Linked DNA regions of Drosophila melanogaster. The protein of the gene in region 1 interacts with the protein of each later gene in a pairwise test. Each region holds a gene or a part of one and is shown in the gene's direction. Other genes may lie near its edges.

Region 1 (3,989 bases):
AATGTGAGCGGTGTGCTGATGAAACTAGTTCAATGTCGCTGGCCCACTATGACGTCACCGTTGGCAGACATCGCTCATCCGCCACGTCGGCCCAGTCGGCCCAGTCGTCCCAGCCGGCCGGCCTTTGGAATGGGCGTAATATATGGGATCCGCTCGAGATTCGGTGTTCCTCACTCCCACTATCAACCAGCAACATCCATGACCCGATATGCCTTCCAGAAACTTCCCTGCGCCACGTGTCGCGTGTCTGGCGTGCGTGTTTGTAAACAACTGCACTGCCATGTCCTTTTTACTATCAAAACAACAGGACACCAGGGCGCAGGCGCTGGAAGGCTATGCACATTCCACACGGAACAGAGGCTGGAAGTCCTGGAAGGAGGAACGAGAACACAGAGCCCAACACTCCAGGGCGTTCAAATGTGTATACTCGATGTCCTGACTTAAATATTACTTATGATAACAAGTTAAGATAAATAAATATAAAGTTAATATATAGCTTTGTCTAAAGAAACTACCTTGACAAAATGACTGCAATAAATGTTTATATTAAATTCATAAACATTAATTCTAGAAAAGAGCACTAGGCTTTGTGTACTTTTTTTTTCCAAATATTTGTGTTTTCTTCTTCTTTTTTTACAAAAGAAATCATTCATTTATTGAAATATTACTAGTTGTTAACTGGGCCTTATATTCCGGGACGCCACTGTCGCGTTGGGGATGCCCTGCTCTTGCGCACTTTTATTGACAATTTCTTTGTTGTCTGCTCCCCGTTGGTGTTGCTTTTTGGCTCAAATTGCCTGGTTACCGCAGTCATTTGGCCAAGTGGCAAAATCAATAGAGGGAGTTGGAGATGCCAGGAAACAGAAGCCAGGAGCCCATTACCTTATTATAATTGGGAGTATTATCAATCGCAGGACGGCACACACATGAAATGAAACGCCGCCTGCCGCAGGAAATGCGTGGAAGCCAGGAGCCTCTTACTGCTTTTTACTCCAGTTGTAGGAACCGTTGTAGAAAAATAAAATCAATATTATCATTTTGGCGTGCATATTGAGGACAGTCATTGCACTTGGTTTCGCAACACTTGGTTTCCGCTTGTATTTAAGGCATTAACTAAGGATTTCGGACCCCGTTTAGCGTTTAGTTTTTGTGCCTTTTGCGTTTGAGTGTCATTTAACGATGAGTTCGCAAACTCTTGAAAACACGCCTATGACACAAAACTTTCAGGGAGATATGGGAAATCTCTGTTTTTCGCTTAACTTCACAATTTATTATAATTTAGTTTGTATTTAATATGTCCATTTATTTCGAGGATGTGCTGCACAGTTGGACGTGAAAAACTCGACTGTGGCTTACGAACTGAATGAGCACAGCATTTCCACTTTCCAGTCCGATTTCCAGTAACCTTCCAACCACTGATTCCCGTTATGCTTTGTTGCTTGAACAAGCCTTCTCCGTGTCCTTAGAAGTTCGACCTGACGTCGTCCTTTGTTGAGCAAGAAAAATATGACTGCCTTCTTTCAACAAAATATTAAAAAGATTATTTACTACCATTTAAACTCTACTTGACCACTTGAGTTCTTTGGGCAAATAATCTACCAATTCACTTTTAATGTATACTTTTTTTTTTAGAATTCTTCGCTTTAATTATAGAAGATTTTTAAAAAATTATTTAAACATAAAAACAACCAATGAGCATAACATGTCATGGAACTGATTTCGAATATAAGGAATTTTACAAACATGACTCGGCGATAATTCCAGCAAGATGTTGTGCTTATGAGAACAATGTCAACGCGGATTTTGAGCCACAGCGCAGTCCGACTTTCATTACTGGCAATGGCAATCCTGGCGAGCGTTGGACAAGCGACCGACCGATCCGAAGGAAGATCAGTACGCAGGTACTCATATGCGGATACCTCGTGGCCCAGGCGGCCGTTCGGCAGCGAGCGAAGGGACTTGGCGCCTTCGGAGCAGCGATACTTCTCCGATCCGGAACTGCTCTTCCAGCGGCTGGACGACATGGAGCAGAAATTGGGAATTCCAGAAAAAATGGCTGCTGCTGGCAAGGTGAAATCGGAACACTATCTGGTTGGTCCCACGAATGTTGCCGCCCAGATGCTCAAAGATAACTTGTACAAATTTCCGATTGATGACGGCGCCATTGGACAGGGAATGCACGATGATTGTCTGGGTAAGGAGGATGTGGATGATCCCTTCGAGTCCCTGGCCAGGATGAACTTCAATGAGCATTTGAATGAGCGTAAGTCCGATCGTGAGCTCAAGAGGGTGCTGGGTGGCTACTTAAACGACCAGCAGCTGGATGGAAAACCAGCTGTGGCAACAGCCAATTTGCTGGCCAAGGTCATTAGCTCCAAGGTCGATCAGCCCAGGAAGTCTGGGCCTTGTCGTGGCACCACGGCTCGATCCCACGGGTTCACCACAAGAAGCCCTACGACTCATCGGACGACCCTTAGTACCACAACGCGCAGTCCCACCACTTTCTGCCTTCCGGAACCCTCATCCGATCCTCCGCTCAAGCCGCTTCCCACATCTCCACCAACACCTCGTCCTCCGCCTTCCGCACCTTCGCGTCCACCAACGACGCGAAAGCCATCTGCTCAAAGGATTAAGCCCAGTAATAAGTGCCCCATATCGACGAAATCTCAAAAGCTAGGAGGTGCCAAGGTGCTGCTGGAAATCATTTTGGCCACCAAGCAGCATGCCCTATCGGTGCTCAAGAATCTCAACTACCTGGAATTGGAACTGCTAAGTCACTCAACGGACGACGATGTATCGGAGAACCACGTTAAAGAGAAAGAACCAACAACAAAGACGTCTGAACGTATCGAAAAACCCGAGCCAAGGCCACCATCCAGGGTATTTTCCTTTGGAATTCGACCAGCGAGCCAAAAAGAGAGCTTGTACGACTTGGCAGTGGCCAAGGAGGAGGAGTTGAAACTGCAGGATCGGGTGTGGGAGGAGCACCAGCAGCAGATGAAGCTAAGGAGGCCAATGAAGCCAAAGAGGTTTGAGGTTGCTCCGGCGGCTGCTGCACGCCTGGAACCTTTTCAGGAGCCTCGAAAGCCACTGAAGTCCATAAATTCCATGGAGCCTTTTACTCCTTTGGAACCAGAAACCTCCGACGACAACAGACGTATCAATCTGGAAGCCTTGAGCGTGGTAGTCAAGCCAATGTCCTCCTTTCCCAGAAAGGATTCTCTTAGCTCGTCGCCGCGAGCACAAATGAATGCTGTTCAATTGGAGGGCACAAGCGATGATGAACTGCATCCAGGCAATACATTTGAATTGAGACCAAGAAAGAAGAAAAAACACAAGTTGTACGCTATGGAAAAGCAGACACAGACTAAAAAGCTACCCATTGCAGGAGTTTTTTATTAAGTCATTTGTATAAATATTAACAGAGTTTTATTGAAACATTTATTCAACACTTAAATATATTTTAAAAATAAGAAGTTTGAATTTTGGCGCCAATACGTTAACCCTAAGACAGTGCTTGCTTATAGCTTTTCGTATTTATATGCCACTTGACGTATTTTTTGACATCCAGCCCACGGTCTCACTAGAAGGCGCCGAAAATTTTAGAAACGTCAAGCGAGAATGAACTCCCGTATTGTTGTGTTAAAAGGAACTTCGTTCGGGATCATCGGAATATTCATTTCTCAGGAAAACCCCAATAGTCTCATTTATGCAGTTTGCAGTGCATATCTTGCTGAGACTCGATTTTTATTAATTGTTTAATAGTTTGGTAAGGACAGAAAACTCACAATATCGCATTACGACACATTCTTTGTATTTGCACAAACGAAATCAAATTCTAAAATATAGATCAAAATAATTTAATTCTGCGTCTGCGCCGCCGCTTTCGTCCATCTCTTTCTCGTCTCTATTCTCTTTATTTTTTGCCCCTTGTCCGTCTTATTTTTCTAGCCCTGTGTTTGCCAATTTTATTGTGCACACTGAAAGAA
Region 2 (4,353 bases), about 11 Mb from region 1:
GATATTAATAGGTGGTTTTTTGCCTATATCTTAATCTATGTTGAAACATTTTCAAGTTTTAAAATATTGCTTAAACCAATTTGAAAATGTGTACGACTCTTTTAGAGGGTATATCAAAACAACAGATAAGAAAGCAAAACAGTGAGGTTAGACTGCTAGCATTTAAAAGCAGAACTCGACCATTTTCCGGCAGAACAGGGACAGATTGTGATACACCAAGACTTCTCGTAGAGACCATTACGATTAACCATGAGAAGGCACTTGCGGGCAAGTCTTTGGATCCTTTGTTTGGCCACCATGGCGTTTTCCATCCTTGCGGCAGTAAATACTTCGCCCAAACCAACGCTGACTTCGGCGTTTAGGTGAGCAGCGCATACAGCGTATTCTTTGTTCGCTAAGATCCGCCCCTTTGCAGTGGAAAAGCTGGCACCACTGCCGTGAAGGCGAATAAGACGACGGGTGAGCTGCTGCCCATGGTCATTAACACTTGGAACTTCACGGCTGCCAATGTGCTCGCCTGGCGAATCCTGAAGCAAAGCAAGGGTGGACTCCGGCAGACGCGGAATGCGGTAGTGGAGGGCTGCTCGAAGTGTGAGAAACTCCAGTGTGACCGAACGGTGGGCTATGGCGGATCGCCGGACGAGTTGGGCGAAACCACACTGGATGCCATGGTCATGGACGGGGCCACCATGGATGTGGGGGCAGTGGCTGGTCTGCGACGCATTAAGGATGCCATTAAGGTAGCCCGGCATGTTCTGGAACACACGCAGCACACCATGCTGGTGGGTGATGCGGCGTCAGCTTTCGCCAATGCTATGGGATTCGAATCAGAGTCGCTGGTCACGCCGGAGTCGAAGGACATGTGGTTACAGTGGACGGCTGAGAACTGCCAGCCAAACTTCTGGAAGAACGTTCACCCGGATCCCAAGGTCTCTTGCGGCCCGTATAAGCCGCGGCCGACTCCGCTGACCCGCTGGAAGGAGGACCGTGCCCGCAATGAGTATGAGATCGGACGCAAGAACCACGATACCATCGGCATGATCGCCATCGACGTGGAAAGCAACATCCACGCCGGCACCTCCACCAACGGGGCGCGGCACAAGATTCCCGGACGGGTCGGCGACTCCCCCATTCCGGGTGCTGGCGCTTATGCAGACAACGAGGTGGGTGCAGCCGTGGCAACCGGAGATGGAGATGTGATGATGCGCTTCCTGCCCTCCCTGCTAGCGGTGGAGACCATGCGGGCGGGAAAACCTCCGGCTGAGGCAGCTCAAGAGGGCCTTCGCCGCATTCTCAAGCACCACAAGGATTTCATGGGTGCTCTCATCGCCGTAGATCGGCTGGGTAATTATGGCGCTGCCTGCTACGGCCTGGCCGAATTCCCCTTTATGGTTAGCAGTCCAGCCGGAGCGGATGGGCCTACGCGCTTGGAAACGGTCAAATGCATAGGTGGTCAGGACAAAGTAAATATCGTGGCGTTGTGAGGTGGCGAAAACTGTAACGTATTTCAATAAAATTTAAATTTCGTGGAGTTCTCATCTGCAATATAAATTGCGTTATTTGTTTGTCCCTATCGGCAGCAAGATAGACGGGTAGTTTTACCGTAAATTAGCGGTATTAAGAATTATCGATATGTAAGGATCCTTACATAAAATAAATAAATAAAGTATGAGAATAGAATAGAAAAAGACAAAACAAAAACCATTCCTTCGATAGTTATGACTACCAAAATGAATAACTTTTCCTTATGGAGAAACATTATAATTGTTATATAAGTAAAAATAATGCAAGTATTAATATTTATAGTGATAAATATAATATATAAAAATTTAATTTTCACTGCATCGAGAGCTGTGAACTGTGAACATCTATGTTGCCAAAATCTCCCTCATCCCTAAGTTACTGTACCAAAAGGCGGCATTTCTAGTATTTGCGTGTTGCACGGTCACATTTTCCGCCAATTTACCGACGCCAAATACAGAAGAAAAGAGAAGCGAACGGTGCGAAAGCGGAGAGAAAAACAAGCGGATCCTAGTTACATATACCAATTCGTGTGTCGCGTGTTATCAAAACAGCCTCCAAAATTATCAGGAACGCGCAACCAGCGGGCCGCAAGTCGCTGACTAAGATGGCAATCCAACTGGACAAGATTCTGCAGGACATCGCCAAAGAAAAGGTGCTGCATCCAAACAATGGCGGCGCCAGCAAGCAGGAGCAGGAGGAGGCGTGGGCCAGGATCGGGCGTCTCAACAAGCTCTCTGTGCACGAATCGCGCTCCATCTTCATAGTGCTCCAAAAGAAGTACGAGCAGGAAAAGCTAAAGGGCAATTCGGCGTGGAAGCTCTTCAGTCTGATGCATCAGATCCATCAGGAGCCTAAAATCTCAATCAAGGAGGAGAAGTAAGTGGCGTAAATAGTCCTCTAACCGTGAAACACTAACAAAATTTCTACTGCTATTCTGCAGTGATCAAGTACCCATGGAGGAGGTGGAGGAGTACGAAATGCTGGAGGTGCAGGAGCCTGAGGACGAGGATGACGCCCATCAGTACGGACAGCACACCAACTCTACCGGCTCGGCGTCCTCCGACGGCGAAAGCCCCACAAAGTCACACAGCACCGGTTCGCCAGAAAAGGACGAGCGGTTGGCGTACGCCAAACCCAACGTCGACACTCCTCGCCCAGCCATCGAGGAGAAAAAGCTGCTCAACACACTGGCTAACAACACACCGCGAAGTAGCTCGCTGTCCGCCGCCGCAGCAGTACTGCAAAAGAAGGGAATTACTGTGAAGAAGACGCCCAGCTCCGCAGCAGCACCGAAACCGGCTATTGGGCAACAGGCGCCAGCCAGTGGGCAAAGATCAAGCTCCTCGCGCACCACCATTCAGCTGCCAGATTCTTTGAAGCGCAAACTTTCGGAGGAGTACACCTCGTCATCGGCGCAAAAAAAGCAGACCAAGACCACGAGCCCGAAACAAGCCGCTTCATCGGCAGCCGCAACTTCAGTGCACACCAGCGTTCCAGATCAACTGCCGGCGGGAAACAATGTGGTGCACACAACCACTGCCCAGCTGATGCAGGTTAAGAAGGAGCGTGAGGACAACCAGACACCACCGCCGGGTATCAACATCATCACCATTCCATCGGCACAACAGATAAACGGTGGTGGTGGGGGAGCGAACTCATCGACAGCCGCCACCATTGCTTCCACCTCGGTGGCTTCCACAAACGGCTTTTCGCCACACATCGACGAGCTGGACTTTAAGAATGACATTATCTTCGGGCCGAAGATCAACGCCGCCTCCTCCAATACACCCGAGATTATCAACCTGGGCAACTTTGACAACTCGCTGCCGCCAACCTTTTTCAAGAATCTATGCAACTCGTCGCGACACGAGTCTCTCGGGCTGTACGTGGCCAATGTGATGAACAGACTCTCTTCGCGTGCCTCCGCCAAGCTGGAGCTGTCCATCTTGCGCGCCATCCTCGATGTGCAGAGCGACGAACTGGAGCAGTAGACCGACTGATACTCGCAATTTAAATGATTACTCAGCTTACTTATTAGACAAACTAAAAAGGTAGTTATGTAGTAGGCCTGTCTGAACCATTTCTCGTATTTATCGTATTATTTTTTCCGTGTTCAAACGTCTGCGTTCTGTGCCGCCCACTTGTAAAATGTATTTACTCACAGTTCTGGTATGAGTGTTCATAGCATTTACGCATGAATTTTAAAGCTAAATTTAAAATGTATTTCTAATATTTGAGATTTCGAATTTGTCCCTATTTAAGGTTGAATATGCTACTTGATTTTAAAATACGTTTATATGCAAATAAATCTACATAACTTACTTGAACTTCGCCCAAAAAGATGTATATCCGGTTGCCATGTGTAAGTAGTCCCTACTTCGCTGGGCATCTGCTCCCAGATGGCCAGTACGTCCTCGTTGTCCACGGAGATGATCTTCATGTGCGAGGCCTTATGAGGTAATTTCTGCAGCACAGCAAAGCCTTCCAGCACTTTAGGCGGCTCTGTTGGTTGAATTTAATGCACATGACTAAAGGAGAATTTGTATTAATGTGTTTTTAACATACTGGCCAATCTGTTTTTAATAGCTGCCACATTTTCCTGCAGCTGCTGCCAATCATGAATGTCATTCGATTCGACACCCCGCTTTTTCTTGTAATATTTATCCAGCAGCCCATTTCCGTTGCCCGCTTCGTAGTGACCCACAGTGAGGGGCTGGGTGAAGATCAGTTGGCTTTCCACGTGAAGATTGGGACGGTTTTCTGCCTTGCTGACCAGTAACTCGTTAACGGGCAGATCGTTGACGAAATCCACCCAGAGATTCTTCACAT
Region 3 (5,262 bases), on another chromosome or scaffold:
GGAGCGCAACGAGTTCACCGTGGACTGCGGCCAGGCGGGTAGCAACATGCTCCTGGTGGGCGTACTGGGGCAACGCGGTCCCTGCGAGGAGGTGGTGGTCAGGCACCTGGGACGCGGCATACACAGGGTCACCTACCGCGTGTGCGATCCCGGTGACTACATCCTGGTGGTCAAGTGGGGGGAGCAGCATGTACCCGGATCCCCGTTCAGCTTAAGTGCGGATTAGCCGTAGAAAGTAAATGTGCCTGCATAAATCAGCTGACCTTGATGGGGCGCTACTGCCACCCATCTGCCTCACTTCTCAATGGAATCCTGCGCAGCTTCTCCGGGCGATTTCGCCCCACCTAATGATGATTGCCGATGATAGCGTTATGGGTGCTCCTTGCTGCTCTTTTCCCGCCACTAATGACGTTCGCATTTGGGAGCTGATGCTCTCGGCGCCTCACAACCTAATGATGATGACCGGCGAATATGGAGAATGTGGGTAAGCTGAGTATGAGGGGGCAAATATGTAGTAGTAATGCGTACACTTGAGGTTAGTGCAATAGTCACAAGTTTGGAAAATAGTGAAATATACTTAAGTAAAAGTAATAATACATTTTAAACACTAGCATGCATTTACCATTAAAAATATATTTTAGCTAATGATTCATTAAAATAAATTCACTAAAATAACAGTTATATAAGAGAGGTGCCATCTTAAAATTATATTAAAAATGTTGCACAATAAATTAAGATAAGTATTGTACTATACATATAATAGTTTAATATGATTTGATTTTAAGGGTAACTATTAAGCTGACCATTATTGTTTATAGAAATGATAAAAGGTGGGGGCTGCACGATGATGTTGTAGCTATTAAAATGTCAAGTTCTTGAAGATGATGACATATTCATTTTGTATTCCTAAACAATCTGTACTTAGTAACAAAAGAAAAAGATACATATTTGCAATATAGAAATTTGTAAACACTGAAGAACATAATTGTTTATAATAATATATTTAGGGAGAATGAAAATAGATTGATATTCAACTAAAACCTATTTGAAAGTAAAAATATGTGTCAATAACTAGAAATTTACGTAATATATTTTTCAAAATACAAATAAACAACATTAGTTTGTATGTCTATTATTAATTATCTCAAAGTTTACTATTTATATAGTTGGCTAGGTTCGTAGATTTTTGAATATTTGGTGACCTTGTTATTGGGATTTCGCTTCCCCCAATTTCTTCTTCCTCTGCCTTGCCCCACCCCCATCGCCTATCGCCCCGCCCCGCCAGCACTTTTTCATCGAGACGATGTGCAATTTAATGATGATTACCCCACAAGCAAAGCCAACTGACGACGACTTTGTGGCAGCAGCGACATTATCATTTTTTGTTATTTAGCCCGCTAATGACGTTTGCTTTTGTTGTTGTTGTTGTTGCTCCATCGCACAACCTAATGATGATGATGATGACCGGCACATACGTGTCGGTGTGACTGTGCCAGTGTGTGTGTGCATTATGCTCCAAGAAAAGCGATTTGTTGAAGGGAGGCGGGAGTAGGTGGTGGTGATGATGATGATGAGCGATGAAATGCGCTTGCTTTGTTGCGCCCTAACGAGCCGAGATTGAAGTAAAAGTACTGTATTGAGCACGATAAATGGCAGATGACTTGGTTCTATTGGCCTAAAGCCGCAATAAACATTTTCAATTTCCCACCTTTTGGCGCTGTTCGAAACCCCAACGCACTGCACTGGCGACTGTCTGGCAACGCCATGTCACACTAGCCGCACCGCTCACACCATGTTGCTCTTGCCATGCCATGCTGTCTCGCTCACGCCGAGAACATCATTATAGAGTCGAATTGCGAGAGCTGCGCAGCGTAGGAGCTACAAACTACGTTTTTCGTGTGTTTCCCTCTTGAAGATAATTAAAATTTAATTATTTGACTTATTATTAAGTTTTGTGCCCACGCTGTTGGCGTCGTAGTGTTGTTGTTTCGCCCGTTGTTGCATGGAGCAAAGCGAAAAACGTAACAATAGAACGCAATCAACGCAAGAAAATCGGATGTGGATGCGATGTGAGTGTGTGTATCTCTGAAATGGGAAAAGTGTGTGCGTGTGTGTATTCGAGAAAAGTAACCTCTCACCCCCCGCGAACTTACATATATGTACATTGGCTCCAATGCTGCTATCCCGCAGCCGCCGTCGCCGTCGACGTCGGCGGAGCATCTTCATCCGCATCTGAGCCCAACTCCCTTCTACACTTGAGTTACCGCTTCACTTCGATTCCAAACGTCGCCGCATCCACTTCTCATCTTCTGCTGCTGCCGCAGCTGCTGCATGCATATCGCAACTTGTTTCGCTCGCACAATTAATATTTGTTTACCGTTTACCGTTCGATTTGCATTGCATGCGTGTGTGTTTGTGCGGGAGCGGCTGAGCTGCGTCGGTGTGTGTGAGCCGGCTTAATGATAATTGAAAGCTAGAAAATAGACAAAGTACACCGACTAGTAAATACCCTTTAGTGCCAGAAAATGGGTTGTTAGCCAATGGGATTACGGTACAAACAACACGGAAGCGACAATAACCCATTTTAAAATCATTGGATGCCAAATTTAAAACAGTTCCTATAACATTTTGTTTCCTGTGATAAGAATTGTTAAAAATACTTGCGTTTTAAAAGTTTAAGCTGAAATTAATTAGTGAATATAAATAGAACTTCAAATTGTGCATAATTATATCGTATAGTAATTAATACCCATGACAACTAGGGAATGAGTCCTTCTAGGAGCTTAAAAATACATAAATATTTCTATGAATCCAAACTCTGCTGCAATATAATAGAATTTTATGTGTATTACAACATTATACCCTTTAATTGCCGCGAGAACTAAGTTAACTATGAAATGCAATCATTCGTAACCCTTTTTGTGGGAAGGTATTAGGCTACAAAAGATTAATTACCATTTCAATTCAATTAAATAGTCATCAAATAGGTGGCTGACCATATGTTCGGTTGTTTATTTACGTGTGGTGTGCACTTTTTAAGAAATCCCTGAAACTCATAGGGATTGCAATATTAATACGTCTAACAATACAAATAGTAAACAACGACACCTGCACGTTAACTAATCATTTGATTTATTTCAGGAGCGAATCCGTGTACAGTATGCCAGCCCACTAGATAAACCGCTTCATGTCCTCCATCAGCTGGCAGACGAAGATTGTCGGGCAATCCCATTTGTCGGCAGTAAGACCCATGTGAAATGCCTGTAAGTTGTCTTTGGAATCAGTAGCTTTATCATCAATATAATCGTATACCTATTCGCAGTATGAAAAATTCAACAAAAAGCGCCGACAATGGGAGGATAGTGGTGTTCTAGAGCTGATCAAACTATGGAAAGTCTGCGCCTATGAGCTGCGCACCATTAAACGCAATGGCCATCTGTATGTGGCAATGGCCAAGCAGCTAACCTCGCTGGGCGTCCCTGTTACCGCACTCGAGGTTCACTTTAAAGTCAACAATCTAACGCAGCGCTACCGGCAGGAGCAGAAGACCTTTGAGACCACAGGCATCATCAGCACCTGGAAGTTCTACAGTCAAGTGGATGATGTGTTTAAGAGTCTGGCCGCACACACCGGTTACAAGTTGGTTGAGATATGATAGATACTTCCCATATAGCAATCCCAAACTAACAAAATATCTTATTATTTTCCAGAGACAAACGCATGACAAGTGCGTCCAATACGAGCAGCTTACCATCCACATCCGAGTCACCAGTTTGGAAGAATCCAATGTCTCAGCAAGAGTTTAATAGTAACAACACGGAGGGGTTCTATAAGTAAGCACTAGCATTGGAACACCTTCCTCACAACATGTTTAAATAACAATTGGGATTTGCAGGACCGAGTACGGGATGCATCGGCACTTTATGGACCACTCCCAGCCACCACCCAATGCCGGCAGCGTGGACAACTTCATGGCCTCATCGGCGGCCGTGGCGGCGGTGGCTGCCGCTGCCTCAGCCCGCCTGGCGGATAACAACATGGATCAGCAAATGAACACGGCTGCCGGTGGAAGCGGTGGCAGTGGTGGTGGTGGGGGCAACACCAATGGAGGCGTGGCCAACTACCAGAAGATCAAGAAGTCGCACGAGGACTACGACAAGTTCGTGGACATTGTGAAGAACATCGTGGACACGCACAAGAGCACTCCCGATAAGGTGGACACGTTCGGCGACTTCATCAAATCGTACATGAAGCGCTGGCCGGAGCGGCTGCAGGACGAGGCCATCAACCACATCACCAACTATGTGATCGTGAAGAACATGGAGCACAGCATGGTCAGCAGCCACAATCCCGAGGGGGTGAACAACCGACAATAACAATACAAGCAGGAGCCCAACAACTGAACGAGTTGTTGGACGACGCAGCTCCAGGAACCAGGCACAGAAGCCGAACGAAGTGAGACGTTAGGCGAGGATTACTTAAGGTGGCGCGCAGTTACTTAACCGCATCTGAGTTGCGGCCAAGTTCATTGGACACACACACGGCATACAGTATTTTTTGTATAGTTAAAATATACATTGGAGTTTTAGTTCTCGACGATCGCGCCCTCGATACAGAGTTGACTTCCGTAAAGAGGGGGCTGGATCGATCAATCGTGCATAGAGATCCTAGGGAGTACATTACATTTAGACACCATTTCCTACTGTTAGCTGTAAACTATTATGCATAAATTAATAAATGCTTTAACGATTATTTATGATTGGTAGTAAGAATGCACTATTGACACGTAGTCTTAGGAAAATTGTACACTTTACAATTTAAATAGATATTCAAATTACTTCTTGCTTCTCTTGCAGATCTTGAGTTTACCTAGTGTCCGTCTGCCTCCGCTAGGTTTTCCTTCGTGTAATCCAAAACACGACGCTTCATACGACAGATGTATTGGCTATGCATGAGGTACATTTTGAGGAATCCCTTGATCGCTATGAAAGTCAATCCCCCAAGAAGAGTTTGTTGCAATCTATCGTCGACAGAGCTGTAAAGAACTCTACCCACGTACATGGATATGGTGGGCAAGAGGATGGCTCCACAGACCACCCGCGATGCTGAATATTCGGTCATTGGCGCAGAAGGGTATGGTTCGGTCTGGTGGTCATATTTCCGTCCTAGGCACATCATTGAAAGACTTCGCAGCAATGAATAACATATTCTAATGAAGCGCAACAGGGCATCTTCCCAGGGAATTAAGCGTCCAAGTATCAG
Region 4 (5,061 bases), 2.1 Mb from region 1:
ACCGATGCCACCGCCAGTGGTGGCCACGATGCTATTGGCCATGATTCCGCCACCGCCGGCATTACCCAGTCCGGCATTTCGGCCATTGAAGCTGGCCGCACTGACGACCATTCCGGGCGGTGAGGCTCGCACAATTGCTTGCGGTGGCAAGGTGGTGTGCATGGCATTGCCCCGTTGGGCGGCTGCAAAAGCGAACATAGAATCTATGGTCTATGGACCAGGAGAGCCCAGACTTACCTGGCACATAGGGTTTTGGCTGGTGGTACGCATTGTTGTGTGAGCGAAAATAGACAGTCTCCTCGTTGTGGCGATAGTGTGATTGTTGCTGAAACTTTTGTCTGTAAGAAACATGGGAGTTTAGCTAGACTCGAGGCTCGTAGAGGACATTGAACTGCAACCCACCTGTAGTTGCCGCCGGAGCGCTGGTTCCCATTGCCATTATTGCTGCCGGATCCAGCTGCGCCGCCATTTCCGTTTCCGCCTCCACCACCGCCTCCTCCTCCTGCACCACTAGCTGCCGCATTCGACTGCTGTTGCAGCTGGCGAAGCGTCAGCTTCTTGGCCGCCTCCGGATCCTCCATGAGTTCGCGGTACTGCTCTTGGCGGATGTCATCGTGCTTGTCCGGCGTGAGGTACCGCCGAATCTCGGCCAGGGCATACGCCACCCGAGCGTACGCCTCGGCGGGCGGAGCAATGGTGGACACCTCGACGTGCAGAGGAAGATTCAGGTGGGCGTACTTCGCGTCCGCGGAGTTGCGCAGCTCCTCCTCACGTGCGCGATCCTTCATTGAGAAGCGACCAAGTATGACGATCTTGCACTGCGTCTCCTCCTGCAGGCGACGCAGTGAGTTGCCCTTGGGCCCCAGTAGCTTGCCCACATAGTTGAACTTCTTGTCCTTGATGGGCACGTGCACTTTTTGGGACAGCTTGATGGTGCGCTGCTGGTAGACATCGGCGTACTGGTCTCTCGTGGGAATGCGTCCGTTTAGCTGCACACGCTCCAGAGCTGCAAAAACAGAGGGAAATCAAAGTAATTACCATGAAGTGCCCCTGACAAATCAATTTACCTTCGTCAATTAGCTTCACCGCCAGGGGGAAGTGGTTTTCCATGCGCGATCGCTCCGTCATGAGCTCCTGCATGTACTTCTGGACCGCCGGCGCCGGCTGGGCCTTCTCGCCGTCTGCGTTGGCGTTGTGTTCGTTCTCATGCTCCCCGTTGCTCGTCCCGCCGCTGACGCCGGTGGGCACCACTCCTGTCCCGGCCCCCGCAGTTCCCGCTGCTGATCCACCGCCGACTCCCGTCGCAGTGGAAGCCACCGCAGAGGCCACCGCGGATGACCCTGGCACGCGCAGTCCGTTCTCCGCCATTTGTCGTCCTGCCTTCGGGATCGCTGTCGCTCTATCGTCCTGCTAAGTCGCCGAGTCTCGGATTTTCCGTGCGCAGATTGCGGGCGATCGCTTTTGCTGTCGATTCGGTATGATTGCTAACTTAGCACACTTCAGCCTTCCCAATGGCCCTAATTTTTCTCTCTTTTTCCAAGTGTGTATTTTATTCGGACATTTACTATGTCAGCGGCTCGGTCCGGCAACTCCGGTCTCTCGGGCTGTCTCTCGTGCTTCTGCAGCGTGCTGTTCGCTGCCAATCGACGGTGCTGTTAAGGGCGCATAGTTGTTATCGGCTTGCAGACACTATCTAACGCTATATATTAACATAGATGCGTCGTCAGGTGCATGGCAATAATTTATAATATGCACTTAGTGATTTTTAAATTACAAATATAATTTAAATGCTCTCTTTGTTATGGGAAAGTTTTTAATAAAATTGATAAGTCATAAACTACTAATGCACATGATGGCGGGTTGTTATCGGCAGTAACCGATAATACGCTATCGAATCGGTGATGCCGATTTACCTATCGATGTCCTACCACATACATATTTTTTCAGCCAACTAATTCTGCAATAGTAGAATTTTGTATTCAAGAGTAGGAGTTTTAAAATTCACGAATCCTCCAGGCCAGAAATCCTACAAAACGCAATGCCGCGCGACTACGACAGAGACTACAACGAGGACGCCGCCGACTACAAGCGGAAGCGACGCGACGAGGAGCCAGCGGCTACCGGTGCTCCAGAGACCCCTGAGGCGGATGGCGGCGGACACACCACCAGCCACGCCGCCCTGCGGGACACGCCCCAGCTGAATGAGAAGACCAACGCGTATCTGCAGGAGTGCCTGCTGGAAAAGAAGACGCTCGAGAAGAAGCACATCATCACCAAGCGCTTACTTGACGACGGTGAGTTAGGCGCTGCGACATGTAAGCTATAGTGGATCTAATTGCAATTTTTCATGGCCCCGCAGAGGTGGAGAAGATCTTGGTCAGCGGACGCATACCAAAGCCCGAGATATATGCCAACGTGTACAGCGAAAAGCCCATCCGCGTGGCCCAGAAAGTCTTGTTCCCCATCAAGGAGTACCCCAAGTTCAATTTCGTTGGCAAGATCCTGGGGCCCAAGGGCAACACACTGCGGCAGCTGCAGGAAGAGACTATGTGCAAAATGGTGGTTATGGGGCGCAACTCGATGCGCGACCACGGTAAGGAGGAGGAGCTTCGCAGCTCCGGAAATCCAAAGTACGCCCATCTCAGCCGCGATTTGCACGTGGAGATATCCACGGTGGCCCCTCCAGCGGAGGCCTATCACAGGATCAGCTATGCGCTAGGCGAGATCCGCAAGTTTATGATACCCGACGCCAACGACGACATTCGGTTGGAGCAACTACGCGAGATGGATGGCAAGGAGCGCATGTACAAGAAGTCTCACCACTATTCCAAATCCTATGGCGATCATGGCGCCTACAGTTCCCGGTAGGCTTGTCAATTTTCGTTGAATTTTAATTGGTTACTAAGGAATTCCTTTCGTCACAGCACCCCGCCCCCTGCTTCTTCAAAGCCCAAAGTCTATTCGATTCTGGAGAAGGCTCGATATGTGATGGACGATCCCAACTATGGGATCGTAAAGACGCACAGGTTAGCTAAGTTCAATCGCGTTAATGATGCCTTTAGAAGTTAAATTCTTATGCTTTCAATAGCGTGCATCTGTGTTATCAACCATTGTTAGAAAACCCTCCTTTAATCCCTTACTTTTTCAACAGATCACGGGACCACGAGCTATATGACCACCATGGAGAATATGATCGCTATGCCACACCGCCGCCCCAAACATCAAAGCACTCGACCCACCACGCCCAGTATGACAGTAGCTCCTACGAGCGCGACTATCGGCGTGAGTATCACCCCCACTCGTCCTCCTCTTCCTACGCGGCGGCCTATCCAGGTAAGATACCTAGATTTCTAGACCAATAATCTCTTCCCCTCAGCAGGCATGTAAAAATAAACAAAATGAAGAAAAGAAAAAGAATACGACAAATAGCAATGTAAACGTTTAAACTTAACTCGCGCAAATCAAAACAAAAAAAAAACTCGAAAACAAAACAAAATCTATCCAACTAAGCGCCGATAAATTGAAAACGCAGAAAAAAACAGAAACCAAAAAAGAAAAAGAAACAAGGCCGCGTACCAAAATTATTAAAACGGCAACCCATCCCATTTTAACAAGATTTTAAATGCACTATGCCTGAACAGAGGCCAAATCAACTAAACCGAACAGCAACCAGTAAATCATCTTCATTAATTGGACGACTACTAACATACTCACAAGAAGCCAGAGCCAAAATATTAAAACAATCGATCAAACAATCAAATTACTGAAATTCACACTTTGAAAACAAAACCATAAAACTTCATGGCAAGAAACCCAAAAATATTTGAACATGCTTAAACTATAAAATCCAAGCTGAAAGGTTTGTGGAACAACTTTTTTTGAAACGTGATGAAACGAAATGCATTTTACTCAAAACAATAACGTTTCGTAGGGTGTAGTGCATTCAAAACCGGTTAAACAATATATTTTTCTTTTTTTTACAATGTATATATGCTAAGCAAAAGAAAAACCAAAAACCAAAAAACAGCACCACAGAGACAGAACAAGAAACAATTTAAAGTCTAAACAACAAATAAAATTCTTTTCAAAATAGCAAAACCAAGCAACGGTCGTTCATCATCGTCATATCGACCAACCACCTCGGGCTCGGGATCACATTCATCTGCTCACTACGAAACTGGATCCCGATCTCGTGAAAGCGTGCGATATCGCTCGGCTCCATATCCGAAAATACGTTAACCCATCGATTTTCCAAAACCCCAAGAAACCAACCTCAACAACAACTACAACAACAACAACAACCACAACTAAACAATGTTAAGCGTAAAGATTAAAATATATTCCAACGAAATATCAAAATGTTTGAAGTCAACAATCCAACTATTCACACCTATTAAATATAATATATAAACGAAAATCAAATAAAAAACGTAAATTTTTATTGCAACTGTTGTCCGATATTCAAATTGTGTTTAAAATTAAAACAAGAAACCAATAATGCAACAAATTTTATCCTCAAAAAGATTGTAAAAACAAAAGACATACTTCAATCAACCTAATACTAGTTAAAGCCAATACGAGAAGAGAACTAAACACAAGCGAAAACCCCCCCAAAACAATTAATTTATCAAAGCATAATTTTAGACTAAGCTTGAAAATATTGTTTCATAAGATAATGGAGATAAAACCAACATAAAAAGCAAAATATAAACTACAAATGTATGTGCCCAACGACAAAGTAAGTATCGCCTGCGGACAGAGTATGATTAACAAACAACAAACCACACTATTCAGCAGTTAAATAAATTAACCAAATGCCGGCTTCGTTACAAATTCCGAATAGCAAAGAGTATTGTGAAACGTTAAACGTTGTCGTTTATAATTATGATTTCTTTTTTGTTTTTTTTTCTTTGCGAATCAACAATTGTTTTATAACTTAAATATTATTTTTAACATAAAACCATAAGGACGTTTAGAACTGAATTTGTTTGCCGCTGAATATCCCTAAATAAAGTATAAAAGTATAATCGACAAATCCAGTTTCATTTGTGGGGGTGTTCA

The links.
Region 2: the proteins of CG13871 (region 1) and Map60 interact in a two-hybrid assay, tested with the Drosophila melanogaster proteins (one large-scale study listed by BioGRID).
Region 3: the proteins of CG13871 (region 1) and CG18766 interact in a two-hybrid assay, tested with the Drosophila melanogaster proteins (one large-scale study listed by BioGRID).
Region 4: the proteins of CG13871 (region 1) and qkr58E-1 interact in a two-hybrid assay, tested with the Drosophila melanogaster proteins (one large-scale study listed by BioGRID).

What each region holds. Positions count from the first base shown.
Region 1 is NT_033778.4:20,315,569-20,319,557, forward strand, and holds CG13871 (uncharacterized protein), read left to right. Parts: upstream 1-1,754; 5' UTR 1,755-1,839; coding exon 1,840-3,402; 3' UTR 3,403-3,471; downstream 3,472-3,989.
Region 2 is NT_033778.4:9,588,901-9,593,253, forward strand, and holds Map60 (Microtubule-associated protein 60), read left to right. Parts: upstream 1-1,966; 5' UTR 1,967-2,128; coding exon 2,129-2,400; intron 2,401-2,464; coding exon 2,465-3,515; 3' UTR 3,516-3,844; downstream 3,845-4,353. Other genes in the region: clos (closca), read right to left, coding at 3,847-4,026, 4,090-4,353; CG1827 (uncharacterized protein), read left to right, coding at 250-362, 416-1,484.
Region 3 is NT_033777.3:27,241,824-27,247,085, reverse strand, and holds CG18766 (uncharacterized protein), read left to right. Parts: upstream 1-1,836; 5' UTR 1,837-1,896; exon of another isoform or gene 1,897-2,069; intron 2,070-2,267; exon of another isoform or gene 2,268-2,440; intron 2,441-3,141; 5' UTR 3,142-3,257; coding exon 3,258-3,263; intron 3,264-3,322; coding exon 3,323-3,639; intron 3,640-3,710; coding exon 3,711-3,833; intron 3,834-3,895; coding exon 3,896-4,376; 3' UTR 4,377-4,751; downstream 4,752-5,262. Other genes in the region: CG5984 (uncharacterized protein), read left to right, coding at 1-226; CG17991 (uncharacterized protein), read right to left, coding at 4,870-5,262.
Region 4 is NT_033778.4:22,412,373-22,417,433, reverse strand, and holds qkr58E-1 (quaking related 58E-1), read left to right. Parts: upstream 1-1,915; 5' UTR 1,916-2,038; coding exon 2,039-2,294; intron 2,295-2,359; coding exon 2,360-2,864; intron 2,865-2,924; coding exon 2,925-3,026; intron 3,027-3,151; coding exon 3,152-3,333; coding exon of another isoform or gene 3,334-3,362; exon of another isoform or gene 3,363-4,093; coding exon 4,094-4,239; 3' UTR 4,240-4,517; downstream 4,518-5,061. Other genes in the region: qkr58E-2 (quaking related 58E-2), read right to left, coding at 1-182, 238-338, 403-1,006, 1,068-1,368; PolE4 (DNA polymerase epsilon subunit 4), read right to left, coding at 5,059-5,061.